2 linked regions of the Ovis aries genome follow. The protein of the gene in region 1 binds, or shares a complex with, the protein of each later gene. Links are inferred from orthologs where the notes say so. Each region holds a gene or a part of one and is shown in the gene's direction. Other genes may lie near its edges.

Region 1 (10,188 bases):
TCAGGAGCATAGTCTTGTGCTTAAAGCTTTATGTAGCGATTATTCCTTGGACAGATTTTTCAGTCTTTTAAAATTTATCTGCACTATAGGGATCACAAAGACTTAGACACAACTGAGCAACTGAACGGAGCTGAAGTGCGCTACAGGGGTGGCACGTCAGGAGATGGACGTGGGTGAATTAAGTCTTGAGCAAAGCTCAGTCCTTAGAAATAGTGATTGATCAGTTAGCTTAACAGGATATTAGTACTTTCTCCATGAATAAATTTGGATTGGGAGAGAACCAGAATCTACTAGCTTTGTGGGATGCAAAAGATATCTTCAGTACTGTTAAGCAGGTCTTGCAATCAACAGGTGTATGAGCCTTTTTTTTTCACCCCTTTGTATCCAGCATCTTGAGGACTGCAGGGGAACAATAGTATAAGTTGTTCAAAGAACTTTCATTAATAGGTGGGGCAAGAGGTCTAATGTGAATGAAATGCTAAGCCGTGTAGGACAGTGGATGGGGGAGCCTAATGTATTCCTGTTGTCAACCCCAGACTGCACAGCTCTGCTTAATGGGCAGCTCTTCTCTAGTCGCCACAACACAGAGGCCAATTCAGATGAGAAAGGGCAAGGTCAAACTTGACCAGGAAGCCTTTTCCCACTAGCAAGATGACTCAAGGGATGCTGGAGCAGTTTACCTGGGAAGATAGTATTCTTCAGGAATGTGTCTTCCACATTTCAGTGACTGGCATTCTGAGTGTTGTTACTGAATTCACTGATTTCGTTCCCTCAGCACTTCTCCACGTACCCCATGTGAACTAGGAAGGTGTCCTATGTCTAACTGTCTATATCTGCATCATCATATTATTCTGGATTGGGGTGTTGATTTCTGGCAAAACAGTAATTTATCATTCATTGAAAGATTAGCGTGAACTGACATGGCTAATTTCTTTAGCTCATTGAGTCCTCATAAACTGAAATAGGACCTCTTATAATCCCTGTGATGTTGGGGGAAGAGGGGTTGCGCTCAGTCGTGTCTGACTCTTTGCAACTCCATGGACTGTATCCCTCCAGGCTCCTCTGTCCTTGGAATTATCCCAGCAAGTATACACGTTGCCATTTCCTCCTCTAGGGGATCTTCCTGACCCAGGGATTGAACCTGCAGCTTCTGTGGCTCCTGCGCTGGCAAGCAGATTCTTTACCACTGAGCCACCTGGGAAGCCCAATCCCCATTATACAGATGATGAAACTGATACTTAGGAAGGTTGTTCTTGCCAAAGGCTACACTGGTGATGCAGCTCCACTTGAGGCCAACGTCTGAAACCGTCGTAGTTCCATCCGTAGTTCTATCCTCCCACAGAAAGACAAGAGCCATCACCTGAAAAGAATGCTGGATGTCAGTTGCTTCAGGAGGGGCAGTCTGAAGGTGGTTGGGACGCCTGAGTGTTCTTGAAGGGGAGCTAGTTGTTTTGATCGCTGAGTTTGAGAAGACGTCCAGTAAGATGTGTCCAGTTTCCCCCATCTATTTTTTTAAAAAAATATATGGCAGGTCATATCCGTTTAATGTCACATTGCTGTCAGTGGTCATTAATTATAGAGCATCTGAATGTTTTGTCTTTAACTTAAACAGTAGTAGCCCATTCCACAAGAATGAGTTTTTTCCATTTTATTTCTGTTCTGTATGTTTTGTAGGTATAAGTGGTGGATGGTGAAAATGGCTGTTTGTAAAAAATAGGAAAACAGATTAGACTTTGCTGCATAATCTAGTTGTTAAAAAACAGTCTCAGATCACAGGGGTAAATGAGTTGAAGTGTTAATTCAGTGCCTTAAGGTTGTATTTTACCTGTCTCTCAAGTTGAAGCCATAGTGAGCAGACACTGAACTATCTGACTTAATCAAATTGCTGTTTTCAACAGGATGCATTCAGTTTACTAGCCTATTCAGATCCTTGGAACAGCCCAGTTGGAAATCAGCTTGACCCAATTCAGAGAGAACCTGTGTGCTCAGCTCTTAACAGTGCAATATTAGGTAAGTGAAGCCAGAAAGCACAGCTTCAACTAGTCTCTTGAGTATTTGAGACAGTATTTGTGCTGGCATTTATCCTTTGGTAAAATCTTGAGGAAAATGTTTCCTACATTAAAAAAAAAAATTACCTCACAGTATAGAAAAATTCCTATTATCTCAGTCCCCGATTAAATGGATTCCAATGGAATAAAAACAGTACATTGGGGTATATCTTGTGATACAAGAAAACAAGTCTGGAAAACAAGTGTCTGTGTGAATGTAGACACAGCATTCCTGGCCTGAATCACTCGGGGCCTCCAGGGGGCTCTTCAGTGCTGTCAGCCCCAGCTCTTGGAGACGCAGGCTGTTTGCATTAAAGATTTAACTACATGCCCTTAGCAAGTGAAAAAGGGTGTGTGGGGGGTGGCAGCAGTATGTAGGCTTAGCCAGGGGGAGCCCAAAGTGGGAAACGGGACTTGCTGTCCCAACTGGTAGCCATTCCTTGGGAGCAGAGTGCGGTGCTTATAAACTGAACAGATGCTCTTTAAATGAATTCAGTAACTGCACGTTTTATGCATTTATATATGAACTACATGCTGCTGCTGCTGCTGAGTCGCTTCAGTCGTGTCCGACTCTGTGCGACCCCATAGACGGCAGCCCACCAGGCTCCCCCGTCCCTGGGATTCTCCAGGCAGGAACACTGGAGTGGGTTGCCATTTCCTTCTCCAATGCATGAAAATGAAAAGTGAAAGTGAAGTCGCTCAGTTGTATCCAACTCTTAAGTGACCCCATGGACTGCAGCCCACCAGGCTCCTCCGTCCATAGGATTTTCCAGGCAAGAGTACTGGAGTGGGGTGTCATTGCCTTCTCCAGTATAAACTACATAGGGTTGATTATTTACATAAAATGACATTTTAATACCTGGGCATTTTTTTTCAAAGGGAATTTGGATGAGTGACTTTTCACCTTCCATTTTAGAATGTAATTCCTCAAGAAAAATGGGAGCTACCAGTTTAAAGTCTGTTGTGTGCTGTTTGGCCATTAGGCTTGGGAGCTTTGAGGAACATGTGAGACACTCTTAGATGAGGGCCGTGCACAGTGTCAGTGTGCAGGCAGGAGACTGGAGCCAAAGCCAGGGGAGCAATTTAGAGTTCTGACATTGGGGCCTTACTTCTTTTCTCTGATAAAGTTCATTATTAATTAATTGTGTTGTGGCTTAATAGTGAAGTTTGGGCATAGGAATTGGTATTGTTATAATTTTCTCACATTTAGGATTTGTATATAATGATGTGAACTTTGGTTAATATGTTGCTTTGGTTATTCAAAATTAATTTAGTTCTACTGATAAAAAATAAGTATACTCAGTAGCAGTGCTAGAATTGTAGGGCAAATTATAGTTTACTGTAACTGTCTTTTTGAAATGACTACATTATAGGTAATCATGAAGTCCTAATTGCTTTCTATCTGGGTAACGCTCAGATTCAGAATTTTTGAAGAAAAGTGACCAGTTTTCATGTGACAGTTAAGAATCTTATGTTCTCCAGGGGAATTAAAATTTCAAGTAGTCAATTGCTTAGGACCACTATCCAGGAGATATATATATAGTCTTACATATTGTGCCCTAAATTATGTAGTTCAACTACAAATAGTGCTTAAATTCATTAACTATATGTAGTTCCTGCAAAAGGAATGACCAGACTTACACTGCTGGGGGGGGGGGGTGCGTATTTGTATACTGTGCTGTGTTGTAGAGCTTCACGTCTCAATGGGGCTTCAAGTTACATTACTGTATGTGAGGCCTGCAAGTTTTGTATTCCAAAAAAGTCTAAAGGACAGTTATAATTGATGTGCCTCCCTTGGCCAAAGTAAAAGTGTAACAATGTGCTTACCAACCCAAATAGCATTCACCACTGTGCCCTGGAGAGGAGTAGGTGGCCTCTGTTGGGCCGTATCCCCAGAAAGATGAAGAATCCATCAGTAAAACTTTACTGAACGCCTGGTGCCTTTTTTTCTGGTAATGTCAACATTAGATAAACATTAGTTAAGAAATTACATCATTCCCATCATAGTAAATATGGAAGTAAATTTTTTGAATATCTAACAGTCTTAGTTCTGCAAGAATTTACTACTACTTGAAAACCCAGTGACCATATAGTACCTTGTCAAAGTAATGTCCAAGGTATTGTTTGCTTAAAAACCACCTTTGCTACTTAGCTTGTTAAGTGCAGTACAGGCATTGGTAATTTTGTAAGCAATGCAGTGTTTTCCTGATTGAGAGATGCTGTTTAAAATGTCTTGCTAATTGGCGTTTCCACTTTTAATCATTTTTCCACAGAAACCCACAATCTGCCAAAGCAACCTCCACTCGCCCTAGCCATGGGACAGGCCACCCAGTGTCTGGGACTGATGGCTCGATCAGGAATCGGATCCTGTGCTTTTGCCACAGTGGACGACTACCTACATTAGCTATGCATTTTCGGAGCTCACACTTACATTGCGGCATATAGACGACATGGAAGTAGACCAGCTCTGCTGATCTGAAACTTAGATTTTTTTAATTATGTACTGGGGACAGGTTTTTGTCGCTTTACATTGCTTCCTAGTTTACAGCATGATGCAAATGATTTTCTAACTTAGTGTTAGGAGCAATTATTTTCCATCTTTAGCCTCTTAGTTGTCTAAGAGTTGAATATTACTGAATTCCAGACATTCAAATTGATCATCACAAATCCTCTAAAACAATTACCTAAAAGAAACCAAAAAGTCCTGCCTTCGTTGTTGGGGGGAGAGAGGGGGGAAGGAAACGGAACAAGTTGTGTTTGTGTTAGCATGTGGGTGATGTAAACTTCAAATTGGGAGGTATTCTGACCCCCGCTCCCATATAAGCATTCAATCAGTGTAACTTGCAAAATGCATAAACATCTGACAGTTTGAATTTATAGTGTTGATGGAAGAAATCATTTTTAATGTGTACTGTAAAACTTGAAATACTCAGGAGCTGAGTGAATATGTTTGTTGCTACTTACAATCCCGACCTGTTAGTCCCAGTAGTTTTGTTTTAACATGGTCTTTCTCAACTTTGTTTCCTGTTTAACTACAGATGACTTCTGTTGTAGACTCACAAGTTGAACTGTTGTATTATAACAGTATTACATGTCAACAGTGTGGTTATGACCTTTATTTATATAAAAACCAAATATTTAGTCAATTTACTGTGTCTTAATTTAATCTTTGTACACCTTCCATTTTTAAGTGCTTAAAATGAGTACTATATTGCAATAAAAATGTAGTGATATAATTAACCAGCCATTAAAAATTTACTTCTACAGATACCAGAGTGTCAGTTGAATTTATACATTAGGTACCTGCATACTTATGATTAATATAAAGTTAGAACAAGTAAAGTTAGAACAAGTTAGAATGAGTGGTTGCTACTATAAATCTGAGCTCTGCAACCCAAGACTGCCTTGCATTTACTGGCCTCCCTGGATCAGGGCCAAACCTGATGCTATAGATGATGCAGAAAGCAGGGAGTCGATCTTATTTTCATGATCATCATATGGTGTGTGACTTGCCAGTTTTAAAGCAAACCCCCAAACTGGTTAAAAGTAAAATATAAACAAGCTCTTCAACAGAATGACCATATCCTTTGGTTTGGCAAAGGTGTCTGTTGGCTGTACACTGAGTCTTAAACCTTCTTTTAAAAGAACAATTATCTACGCTTGGATACTCTTCCACATATTCTGTGAGAGTCTCATCAGTGGCACCAAAATACCTGAGACAAACACATCAGAGAGCTTCAGTTAGAGACTTTTACTGCCATACCGGGGGTGGGGGTTGGACGGACGGTAGCAGAGGTGCCCTCCTGGTGTGGGTACTGCTTGTGGTCAATAAAATGGAAAAACAGGAAAAAAAAAAGGAAAACAAGTCCTTTTAAACTGCTGCTTCCAGGATGCTCAAAGACTAGGAGGCACGGTTATACGCCAGGTGGATGAAGTGTGACTAGGTACTGCCCCTGAGAGACTTGAGATTCTTAAAATGACTCTTCAGAAGGATTTGTAAGTGATTTATTTTTTTTTTTCCCCAGAAAAATTACATTCTTTAAATAACTAAGTTCTATACATACAAAGTACTCGTTCTTCATCTAGCTTTGATTTATGTCTTAGGAGTTTTCATCTTTCTGACCATCCAACGTTTGGTAAACCTCTTGGCATTTTGTTTTCTCTGAGATCCTAGAATAAAAAGTTTTGTGCAGTTAAGAATAAATAAAATTCCCAAGAAACAATTCACAAATTTTCTACATAATTAAAAGTTGCTATATGTACACATATACTGGGCTTTCCTGGTGGCTCAATGGTAGAAGAATCTCACTGCAATGCCAGAGACATGAGTTCAATCCCTGGGTTGGGAAGATCCCCTGGTGGAGGGCATGGCAACCCACTCCAGTGTTCTTGCCTGGAGAATCCCATGGACAGAAGAGCCTGGCGAGCTACAGGCCCTGGGGTCACAAGAGGTGGACACAGCTGAGCACACATGCACAAATAAACTACACTGACCTGCTCTCTAAGCAACTTTAAAACAGTAACAGAAGCCACTTAAAAAAAGATACGTCATGAGTATCTACCAGCTCCTTAACAAGAAACATTGTTCAATATATAAAACTCAGATTCAAGAGAATAAAGCCAAATCTTACCCCAAGTATTATTCAAAAACTGGGCTGCAGCCTTTTTCATCGGTAACCTCTTGTTTTCAAGAGACAGGAACTTGTTTACTAGGAAAGAGGATTATTTGTCATTTTTTGGTTTAATTCACAGTTAGAAAAGGAAGAAAAAACAGTCTGTAAGGAAATTACCAGTAGTTCTGTTGGTTCCAGGACCATATAAACAATTCTGTATGAAGGCTTTGGCAGCTTCTTGCCTTGAATCTCTCAAATCTTGATCTTTTAGCCTTACAGCCATGTAGCTTTTATTCTGGCTGGTGATCAATACAAAAGGTAAAAATGAGGCCATACTTATTTTCAAAGTAAAGTATTTCTGTTAGTTGATTCAAATAGTGGAGAAAAATCCCCAAATCCTAATTGTGTGTAAGCACAGGTTAGATGATAAAATTACAGGGCTATTTTACAACTAACGTTTACATTTTAGTAGAGCAAATACTTTTAAATATAAATACCCAAAATTTCCCACAGAGGATCCAATCTGAAACCGCTACTAATTGAGGTATACCCCCCTCAAAGGTCACCTCTACATCCTACACACAAAGACGACTTCTTACCCAACAGTCTGTACTTTCTGCACTTTAGCTTTCTTAGAGTCACTTCCTTTTCCTCGTTCTTCATTTTTCTTTTGCAAATTAACTAAAAAATTGAGTTAATATTTCTCATTAGCATTTGTGCACAAATAAATCAAGACTGTATGCTGGAGTTTACTTTAAATAACCACTACACACCAATGAGTATGTGACAGTACAAAATAAGCTAAAATTTAAGGCTCTGTGCTCCCAGCGCAGGGGGCTTAGGTTCAGGCCCTACTGGGAGAACTAGATCCCACAGGCCAAGACTAACAGATGTGCATGCCACAACTAAGACCCGGCAGAGCCAAATAAATAATTTTTTTGAAAAAAGAAACAAGCTAAAGCCCACCAGGCCTGTTCCCATGCTCCTTCTCAGGGTCAACAACATTTGCAAATACCAGCAAATGCCCTTGACACTTAATGAGAGGTTACGTAAATAGTTCATACCTTCTTTCAACTTTCCCGGTGATTTCTTCACACTAAGGAAGAACAAGCAAAACACTGATTGGGATAGCAGACAGCAACGATGACTCAGGTTACCACAAAATTTCAGCTGGTTTTACAAATAAGATAACCCTCTTTTACTACCACCACTCTCAATTTTTACTGAGCATCCTTAAAGTCACTCCCCAATGCACTGTCAACAACTCCCAATCAACAAACTATACTAGGCTTGTAGGATCAGAATTTAAAATCTGAAAGTACATTAGCAGGCTTCCAAAGAAGCAGACTGTTGTGGTTGATGGAGTAAAAAGTATTTAAGAATTATGTAATACATTGAAACATGAAGTGAAAGGTGGTAGGCCTGTGGAGAGAGCTGAAAGGATTAACTGAACACTTCAGACACAAGAATGGAGACAAACAATGGTAGTCTCAACAAGTGTGGTCTAATGGAGAGTCAAAGGCCAGAACACAGTGAGATGTCTATACAGAAGTGGAAAAGCTAATCGGCGGGAGCAGTGATGGGGTAGAGGGAATAAGAAGGGACAGGTGACAACTTGGTTTTCAAAGATGAAAGGGACTTTGCCACCACGATGTATTCAGAAACTGAGTAACTTTGGAAAAGCTCTCCTACGGAAAAAGAACCACTGTTCTAGCAGGGCTAAGCTAAACTGAAAGCAAAAAGAGGAGACAAAGGGGAACAGGAAAAAAAATAGCAAATATTTAATCTAAATTTAGTACAGTATAGAACCTGATGCCATAGCACAGAGGAGAAAGGGGAACTTTAAACATACGGTGGATGGCAAAGCTACTAAATGAAAAGGGGAAGAAGGAGGGGAAAATTCTGTGGCTCAGATGGTAAAGCATCTGCCTACAATGCGGGAGTCCCAGGGTCGATCCCTGGGTAGGGAAGATACCCCGGAGAAGGAAATGGCAACCCACTCCAGTACTCTTGCCTGGAAAACCCCATGGAAACAGTCCACAGAGGCACAAAGAGTTGGACAGGACTGAGTGACTTCACTTTAACAAGGAGGGAGAAGTAGGTAAGGCAAGCACGGGACAAGCTGAGTTCTAGGAGCCTATGGATAATAGACTAGTACTCCACACCCCACTAAAGGATGAACTTCAAAACACTGTTTTATTCACACCATCTATCCTGCCCCTAGTACACTGACATACTGTAGGAACTCACTGAAATCAGCAACTCAGAAGCTAGAGTTACCCATGCAAACAACAAAAATAAGAAACAGCCACAGATGGAAAATAAGTGGAACATTTCCCTCCACCTGTCCCACCAAATTCACTTATCTCCTGGGTAGCTTTTTAATTTAGACTTTAAAACTTGAGTTCAGACAAATGTACCAAGACAGCATTGAAACACTGTATGTAAACAAGTAATAAAACGAGATCCACCACTTACCTAGTTTGTGAAGCTGTAGTTAACTTCTCTAGAATAGTATCTGGAAGAAGTTTTCTTTTCTTAAAGACGTTAAAAAAAAAATCATAAAAAGTAAGCAACAGGACAACACGCCCTGAAGTGCTTTTGAAGTTACCATTTTAAGGATAGCCCTACCTCTAGGCAAATAAATGATCCGAACACTGCCCTCCACTACCTGTGAGCTATGGGAAGACTGGGGCCCAAGCAACTCAGAGCCTGCTCCCACTTCACTTGGAAGACGTGAAGGCTGGAAAGGGTGCCCGGTTTATTCTAACCCTCGGGTCACGTTATACACCGAGGGCAATTCATAGTCACGTCCACCTGCGGCCAATCTCCGGAACAGCACAGCGCGAACCAAGCATCCTCTGCACAGCCCTCCGTTTACGCAGCGCTGCCTCCTCACAACGACCCAGGTTCACATAAACCACCTCCGCCGCGCGTCAGAGGTGGGTGGGTCTAGCTCTACTTCACCTCTTCCCGACCCTATTCTGAACTGGTGGACAGCGAGGAGCACTAGCACGCGGATGTTAGTGCTGTCGGAAGAGACCACCGGCGGCTGTCCTCCGCCCCGGACCCCAGCAGTTTTGAACTCTGCCCCGAGCCGGCCCGTGAAACGCCCCCCTCTTTGCAAACCTCTAACCTTCTGTTCAATGAACAGTTCCTCGCGCCGTTTCCTCTTCTCCTTCAGAAGCGCTCTGTCCCTGGAAGAGACCGCGACGAGTCAGGGTGGGCGGAAAAGAGAAGGGGGACGGTTAGGCGGCGCTTCCCGCCCCCGGCCCGGCCCCCGGGGCTCCGAACCTGCGCACCGTTTCCCGAACTCGCCGCTCCTCCTCCTTCGCTTCGGCCTGGGCGCTGGCGAAAGTCAGCTCCTCCGGGGCCTCGTCGTCGATTTCGTCGTCCCCCTCCTCGTCTTCCTCCAGCGGCTCGGCGGCCGCGCCGCTGCTGGGCTGCCCGAGCAGCAGCCCGTGCCCCGCCTCCTCTTCGGAGGCGGGTTGGCCCTCGTCCACCATCGCCGAGGCCGATGCCGGGGC
Region 2 (10,622 bases), on another chromosome or scaffold:
CCAGAAATATGCCATATTCCATTTCCAATATGATCCCTTTTGCCCTCCTCATCCACTTACCTAAATCCTAGCCATTTCCTAGGCTAGTTCATCTTAGTTCCTACCATTGCCTAAAAACCTGTTAAGCTTGTCTTATCTCCTTTTCTCAACCCTCTAAGCACACTGTTTATAAAACGTCACTGCCTTAGTGATTAGTTGTTAGTGTTACTTTTGTCTCCTCAAGAAGATTGTAAACTCTTCAGGTCAGGCATCTCATTATGTGATGCTTTTGTATCCTTCATAGAGCCTTGCACAGTGCTGAGCCAAAAAAAAAAAAAAAAATCATTGAATTTCAGTAGTGTATAAGCAGGACATTCCCCTCCTACCATCAGTATTAAAGAGTAGTGGACATGAGATTATATTTTTTTGATCTACTAGGAAAAGGATGTTTTTGACTAAAAGATAGGCTTTTATTTTATATAAATTGAAAGATAGGAGAAAAAAGAAATACAGTTACTGAATTCTTTTATCTTTTCAGTCAGTTTGTTCTGAATGCCTGATATGCTGGAGGTGATGGAAAAAACACTTGGCATAAAAGACATGGGTTGATGGCTCTGTTATTTATTATGGGGCTCTGAGAAGTGCCCCAAACCTGAGTCTTAGCTTCCTCATCTGTAAAATCAGGTTAATATTACTTAAGGTTGTGATGATTAAATAATAGGTATGGAATGCTTTGTAAACTTCAAAGCAATGTATAAGTTTTGCATAGTTTTGTTGTGCTCCCATCTTTATAATTGTGTTTCTAGTTTACAAAAATATGGATTTCTATATGGTATGTTTTGTGATCCATTAATAGTAACTTCTGATATTTCCAGATCATACTGGTTTCTTGCCCCTGAAGAGGAAAAAAGTAATGAGTGTGCTATGATAAAGAGCACTAGAAAGGATACCTACCCAGACCTGGGAGTTGTCAGGGCATGCTTCCTGGAGGATGACACTGACATATAAGCTCAGACCTGAAAGATGAGTAAAGTTAGCCAAGGAATGATATAAGGGAGGGGAGGGGATGATAAGGAAATGAGAGAGAGAGAATAGCTACACTCTGGAAACTGAAAGAAGCTTCATTTGGCCGGCTCTGAAATTGAATCTATCACTGTACTTAGGTCTGCTAAAAATGAGTATATGTGTTGATTATTGTCTCTTGCAGTTTTTAACTCTTTAATAGAAATGATCTTCTGCTATCCTTTTATATTAACAACTAAATAGAATTTATTTGCAGGGCGTTAACATCTCTTCTTTAGTATAGATAATATTTTACTTGTTAGAACCAGAGCAAGAATTGTTTTCTTTAGACATTGGTCCATTTAATTATTTTTAAATTTGTTTATTCATTTTTTGGCTATACTGAGTCTTCATTGTTGCACTTGGGCTTTCCCTAATTGTGGCGAACAGAGACTGCTCTTCATTGCAGTGCGTGGGCTTCTCATTGCAGTGGCTTCTGTTGTTGCTGACCACAGGCTCTAGGTGCAGAGGCTTCAGTAGTTGCAGCATGCAGGCTCAGTAGTTGTGGCACATGGGCTTGGTTGCCCCATGGCATGTGGGATCTTCCCAGACCAGGCATCGAACCCGTGTCTGCTGTATTGGCTGGCAGAGTCTCAACCACTGGACCACCAGAGAAGCCCCATTGGTACCTTTTATTAATTGTGTTCTCTTTAGTCTGCAGTTACTTTATAACTACCAGCTGCCTCCGTCATGTCCATTTTTCAAACTAGTAAGGAAATTGGAAAATTGGTTTTGGAGGAGTTTTGTTTGCTTTTGTCTGTAAAAACATTTACTCTGGCATGGTTTCAGATATTTGGGTTGTATTTACAAGGTTAGGGTCATTCATTTCTGCTCAGTTTAGGAAGAATGGGGAGAAATCTGGGAAAATGTTAGAATTAGAAGTTCCATAATAGAAAGCCTCTAGAATGGCACCTGGCAAAAATAAACTTTCAGTAATCTCCCGGATGCATGAGTATGCTGCGTTAGTATAGGCAGAACACATTAAGAGAAGAGAAGAAGAAGGAAAATGACAGACTGCTAGGTTAGAGTCTATAAGCCGACAGTTGGGAAGTCAGTCTCTAAGAAAACAGCAGGCATCTATAAGGAGGCAGGAGCCTAGATGTACAGTCTCTCATTAATTGTGTTTTGCTCAGTGAAGCTTCGATATCACATGAATTTTAAAATCATATATCAGAGCTTGGTTAAAACCATAGTAAGCTTCATTCAATTTAGTCCTCATGAGCAAACAAATGAACAAAATACTCCTGCTTATCTGCTGTAAATCATATGGAAGATCTGAGGGATATTCTAAAGAGAGAGAGAGAGAAAGAGAGAGAGAGAGAAGGCCCTCAAGCACTGAGCTAAAGGAAGAACCCTAATAAGTACAGTGTTTGGCTCAAGACTGGTGAAAATGCTATTCTTATGGGGAGGATCAGCTTTCAGCAGACCACCACATCATAACAGCACTTTCCTATAATAATCAAAAAAGATAATTAAGGAGAGGGGTATTATCGTTACCAGGGTTTTTAATGCTGATGAAATTGGCTGGTGTTGGAAACACAAGCTGACAATAACATGAAGTCATTGATTTTAATAACTCCCTCTCCACCTCCACCCCCCAACCTTTCCCCCTGGTTTTCTATCCTGTTTTTCTATAAGATCATAGTTTGCCAATTACAGGACTTTTTTAGGAGTATAATTTCAATGGTTGACAAAAAATTTCTATGTTGTAGAGCTCTGCCACCTAAGAGAAGTTAGGAGAGATGCTCAGCAAGTAACTAGGGGAATGTATTTTGGCATATGAAAGAAAGATAACTTATAATGTTTCAATATGTTAGTGCTTAAGCATGAACATGTTAGAAAACTTAATGAGGTATGAAAGCAAGAGCTGAAACTGTGGGCTGATATTGGTATGGTATTGATGACCCCATCTACCATGAGTGCCACTTATTTGATTTTCCAAAATGAAGTAACTTTTAATAAAAAGTATAATCTCCCTTTTATTTACAAAGCAGGTACAATACTGAAAAATACAGTTTTCTTGAAGATTGTGCAAAAACTGCTTTCTGTTTTAAAACTATGGCCAGAAATTTTCAGACATCTTCATAAACATCTGAAATGTCCCTGGGAGGCTCTGATGCCTTCTTCCACAAGAAGAAGAAGGTTTGAGAACCATAGTGTTTTTATATTAAGATAGCACTACTGACCAATTACCTTTTTTTTTTTTATTAAACATTTTATTAGTACTGGGCTTGCTGCTGCTGCTGCTAAGTCGCTTCAGTCGTGTCCGACTCTGTGCGACCCAATGGACAGCAGCCCACCAGGCTCCTCCATCCACAGGATTCTCTAGGCAAGAATACTGGAGTGGCTTGCCATTTCCTTCTCCAAGTACTAGGCTTATTTTGAGCTATTTATTTTTTCTTTGCCTGTCCTTTGAGAACAACCATGTGTTTGTGAACCAACTGGTCATTGATAGAGATACTCTTATTGTGGAAAAGAGTTTCGCTCCCAGAGAAATGGAGATCTGAGTGTAGCAAGAGTAAAAAATACTGGTGAATAAATGGGAAATATAAAAGATATTTTCTGGGACTTCCCTGGTGGTCCAGTGGCTAAGACTCCCTACTCCCAATGCAGGGGGGCTGTGGTTCAATACCTGTTCAGGGAACTTGATCTCACATGCCACAACTAAGACCTGGTGCAGCCAAATAAGTAAATATCTTTAAATTTTAAATAAAAGATGTTTTTGTATTTTTTAATCTCCTTAAAAGTGACTGTTTAAGCAAAAATTGTACAATATAGAAAATTCCCTGGCTGCCCAGGGGTTAGGACTCTGTACTTTCACTGCAGGGGTCCAATCCCTGGTGGGGAAACTAAAATCCCACAAACCTCATGATGCAGCCCCCCCCCCCAAAAAATAGTGCAATATATCATGTTGTTTCTAACTAGTTTAAAGATGTATAACAGCAGGTCAAAGAATGAATGGGAAGATGGAAGTATGTTTGCAAGGCTCTTACAGTTCACATGAAGTAGGACACTATACCTTGAAGACTGTGATAAGTTAAAAGGTACATATTGTAAACTGTAAATCTACCATTACAAAACAACAAAACAAAACCCAAAGAAGTACAGCTAGTTTGACAATAAAGGAGATAAAATGGAATCACAGGAATATTCGGTCCAAGGAAGTCAGAAAAAGAGGAAAGTAAAGTCATGGTCCCTGAAACAAGGTCAGGTCTATTCCTTGGGCTGGCTGCTTTTACTGCCTACTCCCAGAGCTATGCATGAGAAGATAGCCTGTATTTCTTATTATTCAAAGGATCGGTGGTCTTTTTTTTGAAGAACTCGGCTTTCTTTGTATTGAAAGTCTTTTGCTGATTCTCAGGCTGTCTCTCACTCCCCCTCCACTGCTGCCCTCCTGTTTCATAGCCCCTGGTTGCACAGCCCTGTCTCTGTCCCGTCTCTTTAGCACTCCAAGCAGAGAAGTGTCAGGGTTTTACTTTGTCACTTAACATCCGTACTTGACAATCCAAGATGCTGTAAAATAAAGATAAATTAGTATCTCAACACATCTTACCCTTTTCTCTTTTCCTTGAATTCAGAGACATGAAAAATGCTGTAATTGGAAACAACAAGCAGAAAGCCAACCTCATTGTTTTAGGAGCTGTTCCAAGGTAAGTTTGCTACTATCCCCTTTTCTGCTATTCATATGAAGTTTCAGATGTGTTCTCATTCTCAGTCATAAGACCCTTCTTTTTTCTGTATTGTCTGTCCTACTTTTTTTTTTTTTTAATAAATGCTTTGAAGTATATGAAGCATCTCTTTTAAAAAATTAAGATACCAAGGAGTGGAATATATGAATACTTTTTACAGGTTTGGGAAGATCATTGACCCTGCCATAAAAGGACACGTTGGGTAAATAAGCAATGTACACCATCCTGATTCTTCCCGGTCTCCTCAGAGCTCTGGCAACTTTTATATGATGGGATAATAATTTCTTAGGATTCTCAAAACCTTTTTTGAAACTAAAAAAAAAATTTATTTTTTGACCCTGCTTTTTAGAATTTGCTGGCTTTTAAATTAACATAGAAAGTTTCATGTCTTCTGATGAAGCTATTAAGCTTCTTTTTGGCAGACAGTGATAATTGTTTAACTGCTTCTTTGCCTTTGCTACCCAGAATTAAGTTTTATGTGCAGTTACAAATTTTTCATTCAGAATTTTTAAATGTCTTGCTTTTCTTTCTTCTTTTTTCTTTCGTGTCTTTTAATGTAGGATTGTTTAATGGTTTTGTTGTTTTTATTATAATCAACCATTGGTAACTGTAAAGCTGTCAGCAGCCTTTCTTAGGGGACTAGTGCTCAGTATATATAAATATGCTTTAGGGAGCATGAAGGATGTACCTTAGAACATAAAGGAGATAGTCATATGTTGTAGACAATTGGAATTTGGGGAGTAGTTTTTTGACAGGCTAGCCTAGAATAGAATAGGATCTTTTGATGCCCCAAATAGGAGAATCAGAGAAAGAAGAGAACTTCCCTTGTTTGAAGAGCTGCACAAGGACTCTGAGTATTCCCTCTAGGCTAGATGTCTGTGATCTCTGAACTGTGGTAGTGGATATTCAGGGTCCTTAAGATCCACCAGCACTTGGCTTTGGGAATCTTCATATCTTGAAGTGTCAGATAATGTGGACTGTCGTGCTGGCTGTTTCTACAGGACATCGCTTGTGGACAACTCTCAGATTTTGAAGTTCTGACACTAAGATTGTATGATAATTCTGTTGTTCACAAAGAAGAAAATCTCTTTTGGTTCTCCCCGCTGCCGATATTCCTTTATTAAATTAACAGCTTATATAAAGATATGACCATTTCCTAGCAGCCTGTAAACTCACCTACCATATTTTCAGTGTGTGGGATGTATTGGTAGCCTTTTCTGTAACATTACTTTTAGCTAATGTTTACTTTTAAGTTTTTTAGTCTCTTCTGTTTATCAAGTTCTTTCTTTTTAGATTATTGTACTTGCTTCAGCAAGAAACCTCAAGCACAGAATTGAAAACTGAATGTGCAGTGGTATTGGGAAGTCTTGCTATGGGTACTGAAAACAATGTTAAGTCTCTACTAGATTGCCATATTATCCCTGCCTTACTGCAAGGTATGTAAGGAAGTCATTTTTATACAGGTAAAAAGTAGAATCAGTTTGCAGCGTTTTAAATATAAGTTGGAAGCATGAGTCTCAAATCTGTTTTCTCTTAACAGGACTACTGTCCCCAGACCTGAAGTTCATTGAAGCTTGCCTCCGATGCCTGCGCACCATCTTCACCAGTCCCGTCACTCCAGAGGAACTACTGTATACAGTGAGTTTTAGGTGTTTTTCAATCATCAAGTTACATTTTTACTAACAGCATACTTCTGATTTACTTAGCTTAGCATCTCATAACTGATCTTAGCTGTGATAACTATGTTATAGAAAAGTCTCAAGAAATATTTGAATTGCTAATTTGCAAATATCAAATGTTCTAGGCTTTGTAAAGCAGTGAAAGGTAGTCCCAGACCTTGAGAAATTTATAAGCTGGGGTTTTTTGTTGTTTTTTGTTTTGTAAAGACCTTTCTTAATTTCTTAAAAGGAAACACATTTAATGCACTCACTATAGGTTAAATCTGGTAGAGGAGGCTTTATGGAGAAGGTAGAATTTGACCTGATCTTGAATAATGGATAAGATTTCAAGAAGTGTAGAGAAAAGAAGCTGTTCTAGGGCACATCTTTGAAAAAGAGAATATGCAGGACAGTGGACAGAATAGTTTAATGCAGGAAGGGAATCATTGTTCATTTCAGCTGAAAAGGTGAACCAGAAGCACTTGTTAGAGGCTTACTTACCAGGCTAGGATCAGAGAATACATGTGAGAGAATCTAAAGATCTTCAGAGTCATTCATTGGTTTTCAGAAACTTCAGGGATTATTAGAGTGTATTTTTATCTGTTGCTTATCTGGGGCTTTCTTAATAAATTTATCAAGGCTAGTATTTTTTAAACTCTCTTATCCACAATTCACAGTAGAATTATATTTTCTACGGCCACACTGTGTGTGGGGGGTGGGAGGTGGGGGCGCAGAGTGGTGGTGGGAATATCTTGAGATAGTCTTCACAAAACAATTGCATAAATGTGGTGCCTTCTGACTTCTATTTTATCCTTTTTCATTTTAAAAAATGCTGGTTGTGATTCTCTGAGCTGAGATGCAGAATCATAGTTTCAAAGTGGACACATATGTATTGGAGATCTTGTCCAGGGTCATGTTTTACAAATACTTCAAAAATATAAGTAGTCAAGAGGCATAGGCAAAGCAGGCAGGGAGAGGGACATGTCATGTGCCTCCAGAGTTTGTTTTTCCTATATTAGACACTTGCTCCTCTGGCCTGTAATGATGCCTAAGGTCTGTAAATGAGGCTTGTGGGTCATCTCACACAGCAGGGAGCTAAATTATGAAGCATCTTGATTTTATACCTTGAGGATTTGTGTAACATTCTTTGGGGAACCATGGCTCATAAATCCATAGACCATTTACCACAATGGTTCTCAAACTTGAGCAGGGACCGAAATTACCTGGAGAGCGTATTAAACACAGAATCCTGGACCCCTACCTCCAGAGTTTCTAATTCAGTCAGTGTGGGATGGGGCCTGAGAATATGCATTTCTAACAAGTTTGCCAGTAACTGGTAAACTTTAGTATCTGGTAAACCAGATGCTACTGGTCCACTCTCTGAGAACCACTGGTTTACTGTAAGCATTTCTAAATTGAGGAAGCATTCTCACAGCATTCTATATAGAACTCTCCATCTGAGTATCAGTCTGTTTACTTAAGGATTTCCGATTGTCATTTTTACAAAGAAATTAAGCCAATCACTCATCTTCTTTACCCTAGAAGTTTTTCCCCAACCCTCAGCCCAGTATTGGGGAAGGAATTGACCCTGGTCAACTTACTCAGCTCCTTCCTTCTCTCTCTCTAAATTGATTTCATGATCTGCTAATGGATTGTGGTTCGTAATTTGGAGAATGCTGCTATATACCAACTTAGCTTCTTTTTGCAAGAAAAATTAAGACACAGGGACTTAAGGGACTTTCATAGGATACCTAAATTATGAAACAATTTTATGCCTCAGAGACCGTGGAGACTCTAAAAAATGCTGGATGGGATAATGACAGAGAGTAGTATTTCAGTGTAACTAACTGACATCTGTGGGTAGGATTGTATAGAGACCAGCTGCCATAGCAACTCAGGCACTAAACTAAGGAGCGCAGAATCCTGTTGAAGAGGGCAGAATGTGTAGTTTGAAATTGTTTATAAGATGAATGACTTTGGGGGAAATTATGTAACTGTACTTTGCCTTGTTTAATCAACCAGAAACTGCAGATATGTAACACAGCAGCTTGCAGTATCTTAGTTCCCTGGCCAGGGATTGAACGTTGGGCCCACAGTAGTGAACACCCTGAGTCATAACCACTGGACTGCCAGGAAATTCCCTCATTTTGTGTTTAAACTGCTTATGACAACACAGGGTTATAACAAGCAAGGGGAAAAGATTCTATTTGTAGGCATCTTCTACAAAAATAGCCTACTATTTTCCTACTTAGCTTTTATGTATCTTGCCCAAACCTTGTTTATCCCAACAGTGGTATTCTTTTAAGTTTCCTTCCTTGCCCTCTGTTGTCTTTTGTCAAAGTGTGGTCTGTGGACCAGCAACATCAACCATTAGTTGGGAGTTTGATAGAATGCCAAATCATAAGTCGTACTTCAGACCTACAGAATCAGTCTATACATACAGAGTATCCCCTGAGAACATACATGCAATGCGCGTTCGTATCTGAAGAGCATTGCTGCAGGACTTACGACAGCACTGACTAGGGCACTCGAGCTAAGTCTCCTTTTCCATCTGTGGTTTGGGCCAAATATCCTCTCAGTGTTTAAATCATGAAAGAGGAGATTTTTTGAGAGCCCTGAGGCAGATTGGGTGGATTCTTCTTTCTTCTGTACCATCATGTATGCTGTGAAGTGTCAGTAGTAGGCAGAGAGTGGGCTGTAAGTGAGAAGCTGCTTTTATATAAACTGTCTTGTCTTGTGAAGACTGAAATTAGCTCACTACAGTTATTAGAAATGTTAATCTGTTACTGATACTTACCAAAACATCTCAGACTTCAAAATTGTGAACTTTTATTTTAATACAGTAATTCCTCCTTGTAAGCTATGTAGTAAGTATTTATCTCATTAATTACGTCACATTTTGGTTTTGGAATAGATTATGTCAAGTCTTATTGAAATGATCTTGTTTTATTGTGGGGATGTTTATGGGAGAGAAATTGAGAATTTCCTGTTCTTTTATATTATTATCAAGCATGAAAATTGAAGCCCCTTTCCTTGTCCTTTGCCTAAACAGTTTTGATTACATGTTGCTTTTGTGTTGCTGTGTTCCTTAAACAGACTTGATTTACTGTCATTAAGATAAGAGGCTTATGACGACCCTGTATGCAAGACAGGAAAAAAGACACAGATGTGTATAATGGACTTTTGGACTCAGAGGGAGAGGGAGAGGGTGGGATGATTTGGGAGAATGGGAATTCTAACATGCATACTATCATGTAAGAATTGAATCGCCAGTCCATGTCTGACGTAGGGTGCAGCATGCTTGGGGCTGGTGCATGGGGATGACCCAGAGAGATGTTGTGGGGAGGGAGGTGGGAGGGGGGGTCATGTTTGGGAACGCATGTAAGAATTAAAGATTTTAAAATTAAAAAAAAAAAAAAAGATGCTTACATGCGTACCTGTCCTTGGAAATCAGTGTTAAAGACACTCACCGAGTCTGAGTTCCCTGTTGCTCTGCTCTTCTTCCCTTTCACTCCAGGATGCCACGGTGATACCGCACCTCATGGCGCTGCTTAGCAGGTCCCGCTACACCCAGGAGTATATCTGTCAGATCTTCTCACACTGCTGTAAAGTAAGAACCAGGATAATGTTCTCTGTAATATAAATACTTGTATGCCCTCAGGAGATGTGCCTTCTTGGTATGTCCTCCTGGAGCTAATCTGTACACATATAAGCAGACCTATGTATGTATATAATTTCTCCTCTTTTTTTTTTTGACATAAATAGTAACAGACCATACATACTGTTCTGTACCTTGCATTTTTTACTTAACATTTTGAGGGATATTCCATATCAGTACATAAGGAGCTTCCTCTTTCTTTTTTAAAAAAACAGATGAATAGTATTTTTTTGTATAGATGTACAATAATTTATTCACCTTTTTTTCTACCATTGGGCAGTTAGCTTATTTCCAGTCTTGTGCAGTCAGTGCTGCAGCAAATACCCTGTATGCAAGACATTTTTATAATTTACAAGCACCCTCATGCCACTAACAGAACTCAGCTTTCTTTTAGACTGATAAGTAGCATTTGCTAGCTCTGTTCAGGATTATCCATCAGTTTAGGTAGTTAAATATAACTAAACTTCAGGAAACATTGTAGCATATATAAACCCATGTAGCAGTGACAATAGTAATAGACTAAAATCCAATATTGATTTTCCTACTGATACACCAACAACATGTGTCTTTGAAAAC

The links. Proteins that work in one complex are often made in the same cells at the same time.
Region 2: the proteins of RANBP9 (region 1) and ARMC8 are in contact, whole or in part, in a cryo-EM structure (PDB 7NSC), measured with the Homo sapiens proteins. The link is inferred for Ovis aries from reciprocal best matches to the Homo sapiens genes RANBP9 and ARMC8. Residues at the interface, in NP_005484.2 of Homo sapiens: Tyr271, Gly298, His299, Ser300, Leu301, Gly302, Ile303, Asp337, Asp340, Tyr341, Arg343, Glu344, Thr347; in NP_001350870.1 of Homo sapiens: Gln245, Arg246, Asp247, Val277, Leu278, Lys279, Ile317, Ile320, Thr321, Asp322, His323.

What each region holds. Positions count from the first base shown.
Region 1 is NC_056073.1:42,216,454-42,226,641, forward strand, and holds the end of RANBP9 (ran-binding protein 9), read left to right. Parts: intron 1-1,898; coding exon 1,899-2,010; intron 2,011-4,321; coding exon 4,322-4,452; 3' UTR 4,453-5,316; downstream 5,317-10,188. Other genes in the region: NOL7 (nucleolar protein 7), read right to left, coding at 6,142-6,218, 6,680-6,757, 6,839-6,960, 7,261-7,342, 7,726-7,757, 9,140-9,198, 9,798-9,858, 9,956-10,188. UniProt on the Homo sapiens protein: May act as scaffolding protein, and as adapter protein to couple membrane receptors to intracellular signaling pathways. Acts as a mediator of cell spreading and actin cytoskeleton rearrangement.
Region 2 is NC_056054.1:251,532,727-251,543,348, reverse strand, and holds part of ARMC8 (armadillo repeat-containing protein 8), read left to right. Parts: intron 1-4,619; coding exon 4,620-4,691; intron 4,692-6,023; coding exon 6,024-6,166; intron 6,167-6,270; coding exon 6,271-6,368; intron 6,369-9,905; coding exon 9,906-9,998; intron 9,999-10,622. UniProt on the Homo sapiens protein: Component of the CTLH E3 ubiquitin-protein ligase complex that selectively accepts ubiquitin from UBE2H and mediates ubiquitination and subsequent proteasomal degradation of the transcription factor HBP1.